Drosophila melanogaster: one gene and its partner. Changing the gene in region 2 together with the main gene of any one other region gives a genetic interaction. Each region holds a gene or a part of one and is shown on either strand. Other genes may lie near its edges.

What was found.
Region 1: of sqh (region 2) and ck, changing one enhances a phenotype caused by changing the other (phenotypic enhancement), as found in Drosophila melanogaster (one study listed by BioGRID).

What each region holds. Positions count from the first base shown.
Region 1 is NT_033779.5:15,053,122-15,059,410, forward strand, and holds the start of ck (crinkled), read right to left. Parts: upstream 4,742-6,289; 5' UTR 4,547-4,741; exon of another isoform or gene 4,384-4,546; intron 402-4,383; 5' UTR 311-401; coding exon 293-310; intron 1-292. Other genes in the region: CG33679 (uncharacterized protein), read left to right, coding at 5,182-5,547, 5,611-5,766. UniProt on the Drosophila melanogaster protein: Myosins are actin-based motor molecules with ATPase activity. Unconventional myosins serve in intracellular movements: can function in cells as a single-molecule cargo transporter.
Region 2 is NC_004354.4:6,220,826-6,228,437, forward strand, and holds sqh (spaghetti squash), read right to left. Parts: upstream 4,316-7,612; 5' UTR 4,182-4,315; exon of another isoform or gene 3,872-4,181; intron 3,696-3,871; exon of another isoform or gene 3,586-3,695; intron 3,333-3,585; exon of another isoform or gene 3,292-3,332; 5' UTR 3,180-3,291; coding exon 2,760-3,179; intron 2,687-2,759; coding exon 2,582-2,686; 3' UTR 2,236-2,581; downstream 1-2,235. Other genes in the region: Efr (ER GDP-fucose transporter), read left to right, coding at 557-1,615; dtn (detonator), read left to right, coding at 5,350-5,395, 5,615-5,907, 5,975-7,090, 7,152-7,357, 7,419-7,578. UniProt on the Drosophila melanogaster protein: Required for cytokinesis, could regulate contractile ring function.

The sequences.
Region 1 (6,289 bases), on a different chromosome or scaffold from region 2:
ATTAGTTAAAAAACTAAACTATGCAAAAATAAAGTACTTTGATAAGACTGCAATGAAAATATATATATATTTGAAAAATACCATCAACCTGTTGCTTTGCCCCATTCAAATATTCCCAGCCACCACTGTTCGTAGAGCAATGGTAGTTGAAGTGAGCCATGGCGTGGAACTTCCGCTTTTTTGCTTCTGTTAGCTGGTGCTCATGGGGCGGGGAAAGGTGAGATAGATGGAGTGGCTCGATAAGAGGAGTGATACCTCCACTGCGGGGGCTAATGGTGAGTGAAATACTTACACGTGTTACGATCACCATGTTCGTCGTCCTTCATTTACTGATCCTGTGTTGGCATCCAGGGACAATGGCCCGTTCCTTTTCGCTGCTGCCGCTTGGGTTATATTCTTCTCTGCCGAAAGAGAGAACAAGTGGAAGAGTTGGCCATGAGCAACAATAACAAAATACGAGTTAGCGCCTGCGGCAACAAAAACCGGCTTCGAATAGTAGAAAAAATTAAGGTGAAGTTTACGGTAAATTGAAAGAATTCACAACTTGTCGCTGTCTTCGTTTGTGGTCCGTCGTCTTCTTTTTGTTGTTCTTGCTATCAAATCGCTTTCCTAGCTCGAGGTAAACGTCTTTCTTTCCTCGATTTGGCCAACACACTCCAGCCAACAGCCAGCAAAAGTGGCAACTCATTAACAACACAAAATCAACAGCGAATTAGTCATCAGGCTTAAATGCATTCATAAAACTCATACTTTCGATACTTCTTTTCTTCTTAAACTAAGGGAAAACAGCCCGATCCAAACGAATTGATACGTGACCGAAAATCCTATAAAAAAAGTAAATAAACCTTTACACCTTTAGACATGCAAAAAAGGCCATCCAACTATTTTCACTTTTTGAGCTTCGGTCGCTTCAAACAATCAGTTTTGGCCACAAGAACCAACCGAAAAAGAGGGTCTAACCGAAATCGAAGGTCTCAATGAGCTGCGTTTGTTATGCAAATTGCTTGGTTTTCATTGAAAAAATTTACTTTCATTACTTTGTACGGCCTGGCAGTAGCTAAACAATGTTTTCGATTTAAGGCGATAGAAAACTAAACCATCTTCAATTAGATATTTACGAAAAGAAATTAGAAATGTGTTGCGCCACTGACAGGTTATCGTTGGTGAAAATTCCACCTTTAAATATGATCTTTAGAACTAAAGAAAATAAACATTGCAATTATAGTAACCAGTTTTAGCACCGGATTACAAGTGAGCAAATGAGCGCTGATTACAGAGTCCGATTACAACCATAATTCTTTAGTTTAATCATTTAATCTAGAGAATTCCGGAAAAACTCATCTAATCAACATGTAGATCGGCTTTTTTAAGCGAACTACTTAATTTCCGAAACCAGTCATGAATCAGAGTTTCAAGCTGGCGTCATTTCCCAGTCGGTTGCCATCGAAGCCGCCTTTCAATTGGACACCCCATCCATCATTTAGCACATGGACTAACGGCTGCCTCCGCACAGGTATAGTATAGTGTGGCATGGTATCAGCCGTAGTGTAGTTACTCATTGGGAGGCGTCTCTCCTCTCCACGGTAATTGCAACATGCCAGACAAAAAAAAAAATAAAGCAGCAACAGCTACGGAGCAACCAAATTTAGTGGCACACGGCGGCACGTATACTCGTACACATACCAGTCTGGTTACGCTCTGCCGGTCAAAATACGAGTCTAGTGCACATAGGGAACCCATCTATCCGCGATCCACACTCGAACCACAACCATATAGCGACCTCAATTGTCGGCTGGAGTTCAAACATTTAACTAAGACATACATACATGTATTAAGTAATATTGCTCAATACTCGTTGTCCTGTTATCAGCACCCAATTTAATAGTTTAATGCCCTCATTGTCATCTAAATCCCCTCTTTCCGCAAGTACTTAACTGTAGAACGCGGAAAAGGTTTCATTTATTGGGAACTCTATTTGTATCTTAAGGATTGCTTTTTAGGTAAACGTATCTATATTCGTATTTTAATCTTTTTTTGGTACTCAATCCACAACTGTTTTCAAATTGAAGAGAGCACTTAGACTAAGCACAGTCATGACTGAATTATTTAAAAACGATTGCCTAATTGCCGTACCTGCTGTTATCAGAATTTCCCTGCAGTGCAAGTAGCGATAAGAAGCGAAACATCAAACAAGGTGTAAATCGAGGTGTGAGGCAGACATTTGTATCTCTGGGCATGACCAAAAACGATTAAAAAACTTATAGAATCGAGCAAAGAGCGTCTAAGAATTTCCGGCTCTGCAGATTTAGCATCGAATGGTAGTGATAGTGGACTCAGTGACGAACGATTGGCACGTATCTAAGTGCATATATATGGTAACCATATGTATGTATATGTACTGCATGTATATATGTCTATAAGTAAGAGAGTGCGTTTTTAGTGAGTGATCCAAAAGTTCATCGAGAGTCATTAGTGAAAGTTCGTGTGTGGCAGCCACGTACAATTACGGTTTATGCCATCTACTCTACACTACATACAGACACTCGGCCATATATTATCTATAAACATATGTACATATAAAAGTATGTATGGCGTTCATACCAATTGTTTAATACAACCACTTTTTGTTCACTTTGACTTTGACACTTGACATCATGTTGTTGTCATCTTTGAGCAATTTGTGGCATAAAAACATTTCCTATCTGAAAAATTCATATTCGTCTTATTTTACAAAAAATGCAATAATAATCCTATAAGGTTTCACTTTACTTATACGTTAATTGGAGCACTTTAGTTAAACCCATATTGTTTTATTGGTCACTTGAATTATAGCTCTCAAGATAATATGGCTAATAATAAATCCGTAGTAAAGTCTATGGAATGCGAACGATTCTTAAATTTAAGAGCAAATGCACTTTTTCAATTCATTTGAACATTTATAATATTACTTATTTTACAAAAATATTGATTATATGTTGCCTTTAGACCTTTTCAAATTTAAATTATAAAGTGTTTGTTATTAATGTGAACTTGTAAATGATTTAAATTTAAAAAACACCGTTAGTTGTAGAATTTTTTTTTAACTTTTTCCATAATTACTAGCATTGCTAACAAAATTCTTTTTCGCAAAACTTCGTTTGTTGTTCACACAATTTGCTTCTGGTTTAACAACTGAAATCTTCTACAAAATTTAACGACTCACCAGCGACAACAACAAAAATAAAAAATGGGCAAAGTATTATGTTCATTTTTTTTTTATTATGTATTTAGAGAAGACCTTAAAAAAGTTTCACCAAACAAACAGAAAGTCGCTGCGTGCGCGAAAGCCCCCAGCAACAACAAAAACAAAAACAGCCCAACAACCCAAATGGAAACGCAAAAAAAAGGTTGAGATGGGAGAGAAGAAACAAAAACCGGCTAATGAAAAGCGTTTATTTGAAAAAGGGTTTTCCAATTGTCCACACACGAAATGTCCCGTTGTGCAACAGCAAAAACAACAAACCGGACAAACAAGTGTGCCTGCGTTTTTGTTGTTATTGTCAATTTCAGAACTCTTGACCGCTGAACTGCAAGAAAAAGCAGACGCTTCATGATCGATTTGTATTTATGCAAATTTATGTAAATGGGATATACAAATATTTAACTTGAATGTTTGAAATTTATAAACAATTAATGATAGTACACTCTGATTAGATTAGATTTACACAGTAAAAGTATTTCATATATGTATATTTTTCATAATCATAATGATAGATTATAAAAAAAAACGTTTTCAACTGATTAATAAAACACACTTAGTCACTGTTTTAAGGTTTACGCACGTAATTCCATAAAAGACTATTCAAATCATTTTAAATTGACATCGTTTATTTCTCAGTGTGGAAGCCTGGTTCAAGCTCAAGGAGAATGAGAGGGAGAGAGCGCACTGTCGAGAGCGGGTGGGAAAGGTACGTGGCAGAGGGGGAGACGGTAGCAGCACCCTTGAATGTGTTGCACTGTGAGCCGCTCTTTACGCATCTCTCCCTCTCGCTCGCTCTGCAGCTCCTCGGCAGGTGTACCTGTCCGTGTGTGCGTGCGAGAGAGCGGGGCTGCGCTTGTAGTGTGCATGTTAGTACCGTTCTAGCCAACGAAACCTGAAGCGTAGCTATTTAATTTGGTCACTCGCCTAAAGCAATAAAAATGCAATGCAGCCACGTCTCCGTCTGGAAATGCAATAAAATCGATGATGTTACACTGAACCGATGCTGTGACCCTTGTCATTTTCCCCACTGGCTTTTCTAGCCACAAACAGACACACATTTACACAGACCGCTTGGCAGGGTTAATGCACTCTTTTCTTTTAGTTTCGTTTCATTTCTTTTCTTTTTTCCAATCACTCTCTACCTTAATTGCCGCCTCAGAATTTTGCACTCTCCGCTTTTCGGTCACCGAATTCGAATTCTAATTGGAATCGCTCTCGCCACGACCGTTTAATTAACACTTTTCCAGACCCGTCGAAAGCGGGATGTTCTTTTTCAAAAACAGGTTACATAAATAGGTCACGCACCAGCAGTCGCAGGAATAGAGCAGCGCGCCGAAAGTCCGCTTTTCCAGCACAGTTAAGCCGAGCAACAGGTGGATTACAGACCACTGATCATTTTGGGGCTGTGCGATTTGTTTATTGTTTTTCTTTTCGCCGAGAAGACAAGACTTGAAGCGAAAAATAACAACCGATAAACTGATCAATAAGAGTGACCAGGTGGTGGGGCCAGTTGCGAATGGCCTAAAAAATGCGCGGATTACTAATCGTGGTATGCTAACGAGTTAACATTACAGTTCATTTGAAAACCGCTTATATGGTCACATTGCCGCGTAAGCAGTCCGATCGATAGACTTCCGATAGCATCGATAAAAATAAGCATTACTTACCCAAATTTATCGACCTGCCTAATTTCGGCGCGCATTTCAAAATATCTGTCATAAGCTATTGCATTTTTCAAGAAATATCTTTTTTCTATGTCAATATATTAAACATGTCGTCATATTAGCTCATTGAAGCGGTTTGTTGATTACCTAATTATTTATACGAACTGCGATAAGTAGTAATTAAAATCTAATTATGCCCCATCAGTAATTATATTTTTGGAAACCAGTACTCCACCATCGCGTAGAGTGGTCATTACATCCAGACTATTTGCCCTGATGAAGTACCTCTTGTGGATCAGCTTACTTTTCATTGGAGAATCCCATGGATACGTGCGCCTCACGAACCTCAAGTGCGAAAGCTATGACAAATCATTCGTCGTCTTTCCCGAATGCCGACTAAAAGTGCTTGGCAGGGGAATTATCGGAGCCAACATACACGTTAAGCTTCTGAAACTGCCAATAAATAGGATGGTCGTGAGATTCATCACTTACCGGAAGCTAAACGGATACCATCCGTTTCTATTTAATGTTTCCGAGGAACACTGTCGCGTCCTAAGGTATCCAAATCGTCTCAGAGTCTTCTACTATTTCTACACCGCCTTTATGCCCTTTTCCAATATTAATCATACATGTCCCTATAATGTAAGTATTTAGTTTCGCCAATATGACAATCATATTAAATCATATTAAAATATATATTTTAAGGATGATATTTACATAAGGAACTGCACCTTGGATGATCGTATGTTTGCCAAGGTCCCATTACCAAAGGGTAGCTATAAGTTAACCCTCGAAATGGATGATGGTGTCGTGAACTGGATTTCCATCATAAACATCCACTTTGAAATTGACGTTGACTAAGATGAACAAAACATTAGAACACCTAATGGATCTAACACAACGAACACATATTTATTTTGCGTTAATGTTTTAATTATTCCTATGCCCGCTATATGATATAGTTGTCCGATCTGGCCCGTTCCGACTTCTATACTTAATGCAATACAAAGTTCGTTAATGCAAATTGCTTTAAAACTGACTAATTACATCGGTTGTTAATACTCTTCGAGAATACATACACAATATGGCGTCTTATTTACTTCTCTGCTAGATCATTCTGAGTTATATTTATAATGTATTCATATTTACTTTGCTCAATGCTCAATTTATCGCCCCGCTGTGTTATCGGCGAGTTATCAGCAGCGTGGTCGTTATCACCGGCGTTTTTAAAAAACTGATTGCGGCAACAAGACGTCTCCGTTTTATCAATAGTTAATGTTTATTGAAATTTCTTTTCTCTCGTTTAAGGTTTAGGTGGTCAGAGTAAACGCCTCCGCAGTTGGGCAGCAGATACAAAATGTTTTCTCGCGTGTCGTGTCTTTAC
Region 2 (7,612 bases):
AGCCAAATGATTAGCTTCATATGCATTCACAATGCGCAAAGAATAAGTATAATAATTTATGCTAATGTATGTTTTTCTTCGGTATCCCCGTGTGCTTTGCACATACGACGTACGACTGAAATTTAATAGCTCTGAATTGCTGAATTGCAAATTAACAATAATTTAAATAAATAATTTCATCAGTTAGTAGTAATATATTCAAAACAGATTGATTTATTAATAGTGCTAAACTCTTTTTTAGCATAATCAGAGCAAAATTTAGTGGAAATCAAATTGCTTCGTAATCATGGCAATGTTTTGCGAATGTATAAAACAATTTACGTGCATGTGTGTACATACGTACCTACTTATTACCCCTTTAAGATAACAGATAGCACGGAATGTTTTACATGCTAGAAAACAAAATGAAAAAAAAAACACACTTGACAAAAAGTTTAAAAAAAATTTAAAATTGAACACGTACTCTAACATCGATTGTCAAGATGCTGGATTTTAATAGCCTATAACCATTCATATTTTTAAAATTTCTAAACATATACATATTTATCTTTCAGATATGGCTCTGAACCTGAAGGCCCTGCTGGGCATGCTGTTCGTGTTCATCGGCTGCTGCAGCAACGTGGTCTTTCTGGAGCTGATCATTCAAATCGATCCGGGAGCGGGTAACCTGATCACCTTCGCCCAATTCCTGTTCATCGCGCTGGAGGGTCTGGTCTTCACCTCCAAGTTCTTTACGGTGCGACCGAAGATTGCGCTGAAGGACTACGTCATCCTGGTGGCCCTGTTCTTTGGGGCGAACGTTTGCAATAACTATGCCTTCAACTTTAACATACCCATGCCGCTGCACATGATCTTCCGTAGCGGATCACTGATGGCCAACATGATCATGGGCATTGTGCTGCTGAAGAAGCGCTACAATCTGCGACAGTACAGCTCCGTGGCCATGATCACGGCTGGCATTATATTGTGCACTCTGGTCTCCAGTGGCGATGTCAAGGATAATACACATCACAGCCTCAAGGTGGATACATCCTACTCCGATTTCTTCTGGTGGACGGTGGGTATTGGCTTGCTGACAATCGCCCTGCTGGTCACCGCCTACATGGGCATCTACCAGGAGGTGATATACAAGAAATACGGCAAGCATCCCAGCGAGGCCTTATTCTTTACGCACATGTTACCTTTGCCCGGTTTTCTGATCATGGCCGGCAATATAGTCCAACACTTTGGTATCGCATGGTCATCGGAACCAGTGGCCGTGCCACTGCTGGGAGCCATTGGACTGGAGTGGAAATTCCCGCTGATGTTGTTCTATCTGCTGTGCAACGTGGTCACCCAGTATGTATGCATCAGTGCCGTCTACGTTCTGACCACCGAATGTGCATCGCTAACCGTAACGCTGGTGGTCACCCTGCGCAAGTTCGTCTCGCTGCTGTTCTCGATCATTTATTTCCGGAATCCATTCACCCTAAACCATTGGGTAGGCACCATCCTGGTATTCTTCGGCACAATACTCTTCGCCAATGTGATCAACCAGGTGAGGGACGCCTATCGGGCCAGGTCGAGCCGGAAGACCCACTTCGACACCGCTCCGCTGGCCAAGAAGGTGGAGTAATCTTCGCGGGCTGTGATGGTTCCTGCTGCAGAGGCCATTAACCATTAACCATTAATTTGTAGTCGTAGCGCCTTGTTTGTACATAGAATTTGCCTAGTGTTTAGACGCCTCTTTGTCTGGTTTGTAATTCTTGTGTCCGTGTCTTTCTAGATTTTCAAATGTTCGTGTTTTCTTTTAAATTAATAGTTGTCCAAAAAGTGTGTAATATACAACGTTGAGTGTTTCGAACATTAAGCCATCTATTTAATTGATTTTTTTTTAAATAAATTCTTGAAAAACATATATTTGCAGAAGCTGAAATATCTTCGAATCAAAAATAATGTGAGATAAGATATGAGTTTGCAAGTTCGAGTCTTTTGGACATGAACTCATTAGTCAGCTTGTCGAAGATTCCAAGAAAATTTTGACTAATTTCCGAAATCTCTTTCAATTTCCCGCCACATTTGAAGCTACATACACTTATCACATCGTGCTAGTGATCATGCTTAATTAGCCATGGGGGGTACATATTCCAAAGTTTCCCTTGTTTGATCAGTTGCTTTTGGCTGAAGGATTTCTGCAGACATCTGTTTGGTTGGACGTGCGCACGTTCTCGAGTGTAAGAAAAACAAAGGTTTATTGCCACATTCTTGTATAAGTATGTATTTGTATATAGGTAATATATATGTATATTCAATGAGTTAATACTTATGAAAGGAGTTTTTCGGGAAATCGTGTTATCTGGCACCAACATCTCACACACTACACTGTCGTACATAACAATCGCTGGTGTTGGCTACTTTTTGTTTAATTCAAATGCACGGATAAGTACAGGATTATCAGGAATCAAAGAACAGAAGGCGCGAAACCAAAAAAAAAAAATATTTATACTTGTATATATTAAATTATCAAAACGAAACTCATGATGGATAGTTTGGACAGGCTGATTGGAGAGGCAGCTGGCTAGTGAATCGACTGCTGGCGATCTTACTGCTCATCCTTGTCCTTGGCACCGTGCTTAAGGATGCGCGTGAATTCGAGGTAGTCGAACAGACCGTTTTTGATGGGCGCCTCCCGATACATCTCGTCCACCTGTGAATGTAAATGGAAAAGAAGTTGTAAGGGCACACTCCGACTTGATATCGTAAACAACTTGACAACATACATCCTCGTCTGTGAACCGATCACCCATGGTGGTCAGCAGCTCCCTCAGGCGATCCTCGGGCAGGACGCCCATATTCTCCTCGTCGAAGCAGCCGAAGGCGTTCTTGATCACATCCTCGGGATCGGTGCCCTGCAGCCGCTCGCCGAAGAGCGTGAGGAACATGGTGAAGTTGATGGGCCCGGGCGCCTCGTTCATCATGCCATCGAGATAGTCGTCCGTTGGGTTCTTGCCCAGCGAGGCCAGCATGTCGTGCAGATCCTCCTTCTCGACGAAGCCATCACGGTTCTGGTCGATCATGTTGAATGCCTCCTTGAACTCGGCAATCTGCGCCTGATCGAACATGGCGAACACATTGGAGGTGGCGCGTTGGGCGCGCTTCTTGGTGGTGGCGCGACGTCCGGCGGTCTTACGGGATGACATGGTTGCTGTTGGATTGGTGGTTCTGATGCGGTTAATGGAGCTAAATGGAGCCGGCCTATGGAGCTGGTGGCACTAGTGCTTCGCGCTGGAGTGATGTGTGTGCGGCGTGGATCTGAAATCGAAAAACGCCGACTCACATTAGCATTTCGTTGGCCGGGTATGTATTTATGGCTATATATAGACATATTGCAGCGAATTCCGCTGAAACCGATTTTCATTGCTCCCCAAACAAACTGTGTCAACATACAGTGGACGCTCGCTACAGTGAGTACACCATGCATATGCTTATCACAACGGAAAGAACATCTTATTGCTGCTCTTTAAGGTTTTTTAAGGAATGAAGGTTTGGCCATTGCCTAAAATGGGCGAACTACAAATTATATTTATAAATAAATAGTTTTAATACAGTTTTAGGCCAGAAAGGATAATGCAAAAGCAGTTCGATGGCTCCATGCTTCCGCTACAGTTACAAGTCCACCTTATCGGGCGCCCACTGTGAGTACGACTCATGCACGCACACATGCGCAGCTCTCTGAGTCACTCGCGCAAACGAAAATGACACGTATGGGAGTTTCGCTCTCGCTCTGCGCCAGTGCGTGCATGTGTATGCGAGTTTATCAATGCTGTTGAACTGCGGTTAACAAAAACAACATCGCACACGTATTTGGCTCATTGAAAACATTCTCACACACACTGGCACACGCATTTCAATTAAAGCCTTAAAAGGCCAGAAAAAAACCGCAGTTGAAGCACCCAAATTCACTCGAGAACTCAAGTTGGGCCAAATGTTTGCGACTTCGTTGATTTATCACTTTCGAATGGACATTTAAATGGAATTATAGCACAAAAACAATTGTTTTCATTTGCGCGCTGCCGACGCTGACTCATACGCATACACTAACACACACGCACACTCACATAGGGCAGCGCCCTTTGGGAGTTCAGTTCGTTTATTTTATCGAATATGATTGCTTGATTACGCCTGATTTGATTCATACTCACAGCTGCCGAATGCCGAGTGTTTAATACTATCGAAGTTTCGTTAATGCAACTTTCGACCAGCTGCACTTTTGTCTTTTATAATTTCGGTTCGACGAGAAGGCCAAGTGTGACCAGCATAGAGGCGGTTTCAATTTATCAGAAAATACCGCAGAATATGCTAAAAATTACTGTGCAAAAGTGCTAATTGTTGGAGCTCCTAAAATAAATAAATATTAAGACTATAAATTATATTATAAAATATAAAATTATATTACAAATGTGAATACTACTGAGACTAGGACCATGGCTATTAGAATCCTAAAAACCTATTGTCAGTTGTGCTACCAGATCTTGTTTTAAAATATTCGTTCCTAAGAAGCTCTTTTCTTGTAGAATCTAAAGTTTCTCAAAAAATTTTCTTAAGCAATCCCAATTAATTTTATTTTTCTTTATTCTTCACTGTCAAACATGGTATTTTTTTTTTTTTGGTATTAACTTTTTGAATTGCCCGCGTTCTGATTGGAGTTTCAGGAGTATGCGCACAGTCTGGCAGCCCCATATTACAGCACTTCCAAATACGGTAGTACCACTATCTTAGGATATTGTTTTCAATACGGTATGGACACACTGCAAAGTGTTTGGAATGTTCGATATTTGTGTAAAATTCTGAGAGACCTGAATGAAAAGAGGCATGCATTAGGGCGTCGAACGAGGGATTTTCCAGCCCAGCAGATCCTTGCCAGCGCGTGAAAAGCGAGTCGAGTGAAAAATCGAATCGATTGGCACGGTTGCGGTCCAATTAATTTCGAACTGAACTGCGCGATTTGCAGGAGAAGATGTGTCTATACCTGCATGTGCATGTGTATCTGTGTGTGAGGTGGCCCACGGCTGTGTGTGTGAGCAGCGTGTGAGTGTGTGTTGGTGTGTGGGTGTGTGGGCACACTGGAAAGAATCAATAAAGGATGTGCTGCGGATTGCTGAGCGAGAAAAAAGGACGAAAAGTGCTAGCCAGCGCGAATTAACGGTTGACTTTTGGCACGATTAACGGAATAACGGTCAAATAAGCCACACAAGCGAGAGAACAGTGAAAATAACGAAAGTGCGGGCACAGTTAATTAGCAAATTAACGAGTGGGTGGGCACAGGATTTCAGGATTTCGATATATTTTGGATTCCTGCACACGAACAAGATGATGAGATACTGCCTCATAATTGCTTTGCAGCTGTCGTTGGCATGTAAGTATCAAATAAAGTTTCCAAACCCAGGGGGGTGGTACAAAAAAAGCGATGGAGTGGGAGGAGGGAGTAAGCCAGTGGGAGGGGGATAAAGGAGGAGTGGGTGACCTCCGGGTTTAAGAAAATCCCCAACCCCTATGTTACCATTACCAAAATTCAACTAATTGACTCCTTCATCTACTCCCAACCCATAACAAATCCATGCCGAATCCTCGCCAGACTCCGTGGAGGTGCACTTCGAGGCGCCGGACAGCGGCTTCTTTCTGAAGCACGCCCGCCAACCACCTGTGACGCCGGAGATCGCCAATGTGCAGACATCCTCGGCGGTGCCGCCGTTACGGCAACGATCCTCCTATGATTCCGTGTTATCTCTGGACAGATTCACTGTGGTCGAGACCACGCAGCCGGTGTCCATACGCGCCAGCTATGGACCGTTTTCCACGAAACAAACGGTGCCAGCCCGCTACATTGTGCCGGACACAATGGACAGCCAGTCGGGCGATTATATGAACGTGAGTTATCCCCAAATCCTGGCAAGCAACAAAAGGACGCCTTGTCATACCACTTTCTCTCCCACAGAATGCCACTCTACTGGAGCTCCAGCAGCCAAATATGCACCTGGACATATCCGCCCATTTGGTTCGCTCCAGTGTATCGCAGGATGCTCCCGTGCTTCGGGTACTATTCCACGCCGGAGCCGATCCGGGTGGTCATTTGCAGCGCCAGAAGGTCTGTGTACTCCTGCACGTGGCGATGGGTTCGGAGCAGCCGCTCAAAGGACGCTGCATGCCGGAGGGCGAGGACGGTGTCTGCGTAGCCGAAGTGGTCGTGCCCCTGGGCTGGTGGCCCCAGCTGCCGGCGCCCACACAAGATGGCAGTGGTCAGGCGCCACCCAAAGTACCGCAGCGGTATGCCCAGGTCTCGTACAGTGTCTTTGAACCGCCTTTGCGTAATCCCGAGCAATGCGAGCCGAAGGTGCAGATCCAACCGTTGACCACATTCGCCCAGGTGCCTTTGTTGGCCGCCAGGACTCCCTATCGTATGTTGCGCGCCGATGATGCCGTCACCTTTCTCCTGCCACAACATCCGCTGTATCCACTCTCCCGTCTACATGTGCCCGTCTTTTTACATCAATATCCCGATCAGCGGGTGGCCGCCTTCACTGTGAGAGCTCGTGTTAAGGCGGGCTTAAAGATTCTGGGCGCCACCGCCTCCACAGACCAATGGAGCGTTTCTGTAGAGAAGGAAAATCCCAAACACACTACCGCTCGCGTTACTGCTTTCCGCAAAGAGGCCGAATCCAGTCTGGAAAGTGGTGGCAACCTAACCAGCGAGGTGTTTGAAGTATTCTCATGGCTGCTCGAGGTGGCCGAGGACACCAATGATATTGTGGACGGTGGCAAGATTGTGTGGTCCGTGACGCATGTCTATGACACGCCAAAGGACAAGGATTCCGGGGAACTGGTTATACCCGATGACAACAAGAAGCGACTAATTGCCAAGCTGGAGATCAACAAGGATGACATTCAGGCGGTGCTACCGATGGCCAAAATCTGGGAGGTGATGAACACGGCGGTGCTAACGGGCAGACAGGTGGCCCAGGCGATGAAGGTGTTCATCGTTTCGCAGGCAGGCAAGGTGGCCGATGTGACGCTACAGAGCTCCTGTCACGCCGAAGATGAAAGTGTAATCAAGGTGCGTCTGATGACTGTGAATCGTGCAATTGCTAGCTAAATAACCAATCAACTTCTTTCAGGTCTCCTCCTCCTGCAGCTCTGTTTATGTGGATGGCTCCGAGCAGCGCGGCTCATCCAATGCCTCGGTCATTGTCAAGTATGGCACCTATGTGGGCGTGGCCAAGTTCATCGTTTGGATGCCCGAGTTTCCGCTGGAAGTTTACATATCCGATTTCCGTCTCTCCCAAATCAAAGGATGGAAAGTAACCGATGACAATCACTATCTGTAAGTTTATTATCCTGTAGTTTGAATATCTTACTTATCATTCTTATTCATTGCATGGCAGACACAACAAGCAGTCTCGTCGAAGAAAGAAGAGATCCTACGTTTGGGGTCAGCATGGAACGAACTACTATAACAATCTGGGAGCGGACAAGACGATTTGTCGCGCTCGCTACCAGCAAAGTCCCGTGGAGGTGTATGCCAAGTTCCTGGCCGTGGACCAGGTGGGAATTCCTGAGCTTCATAAGCGTCAAAAGT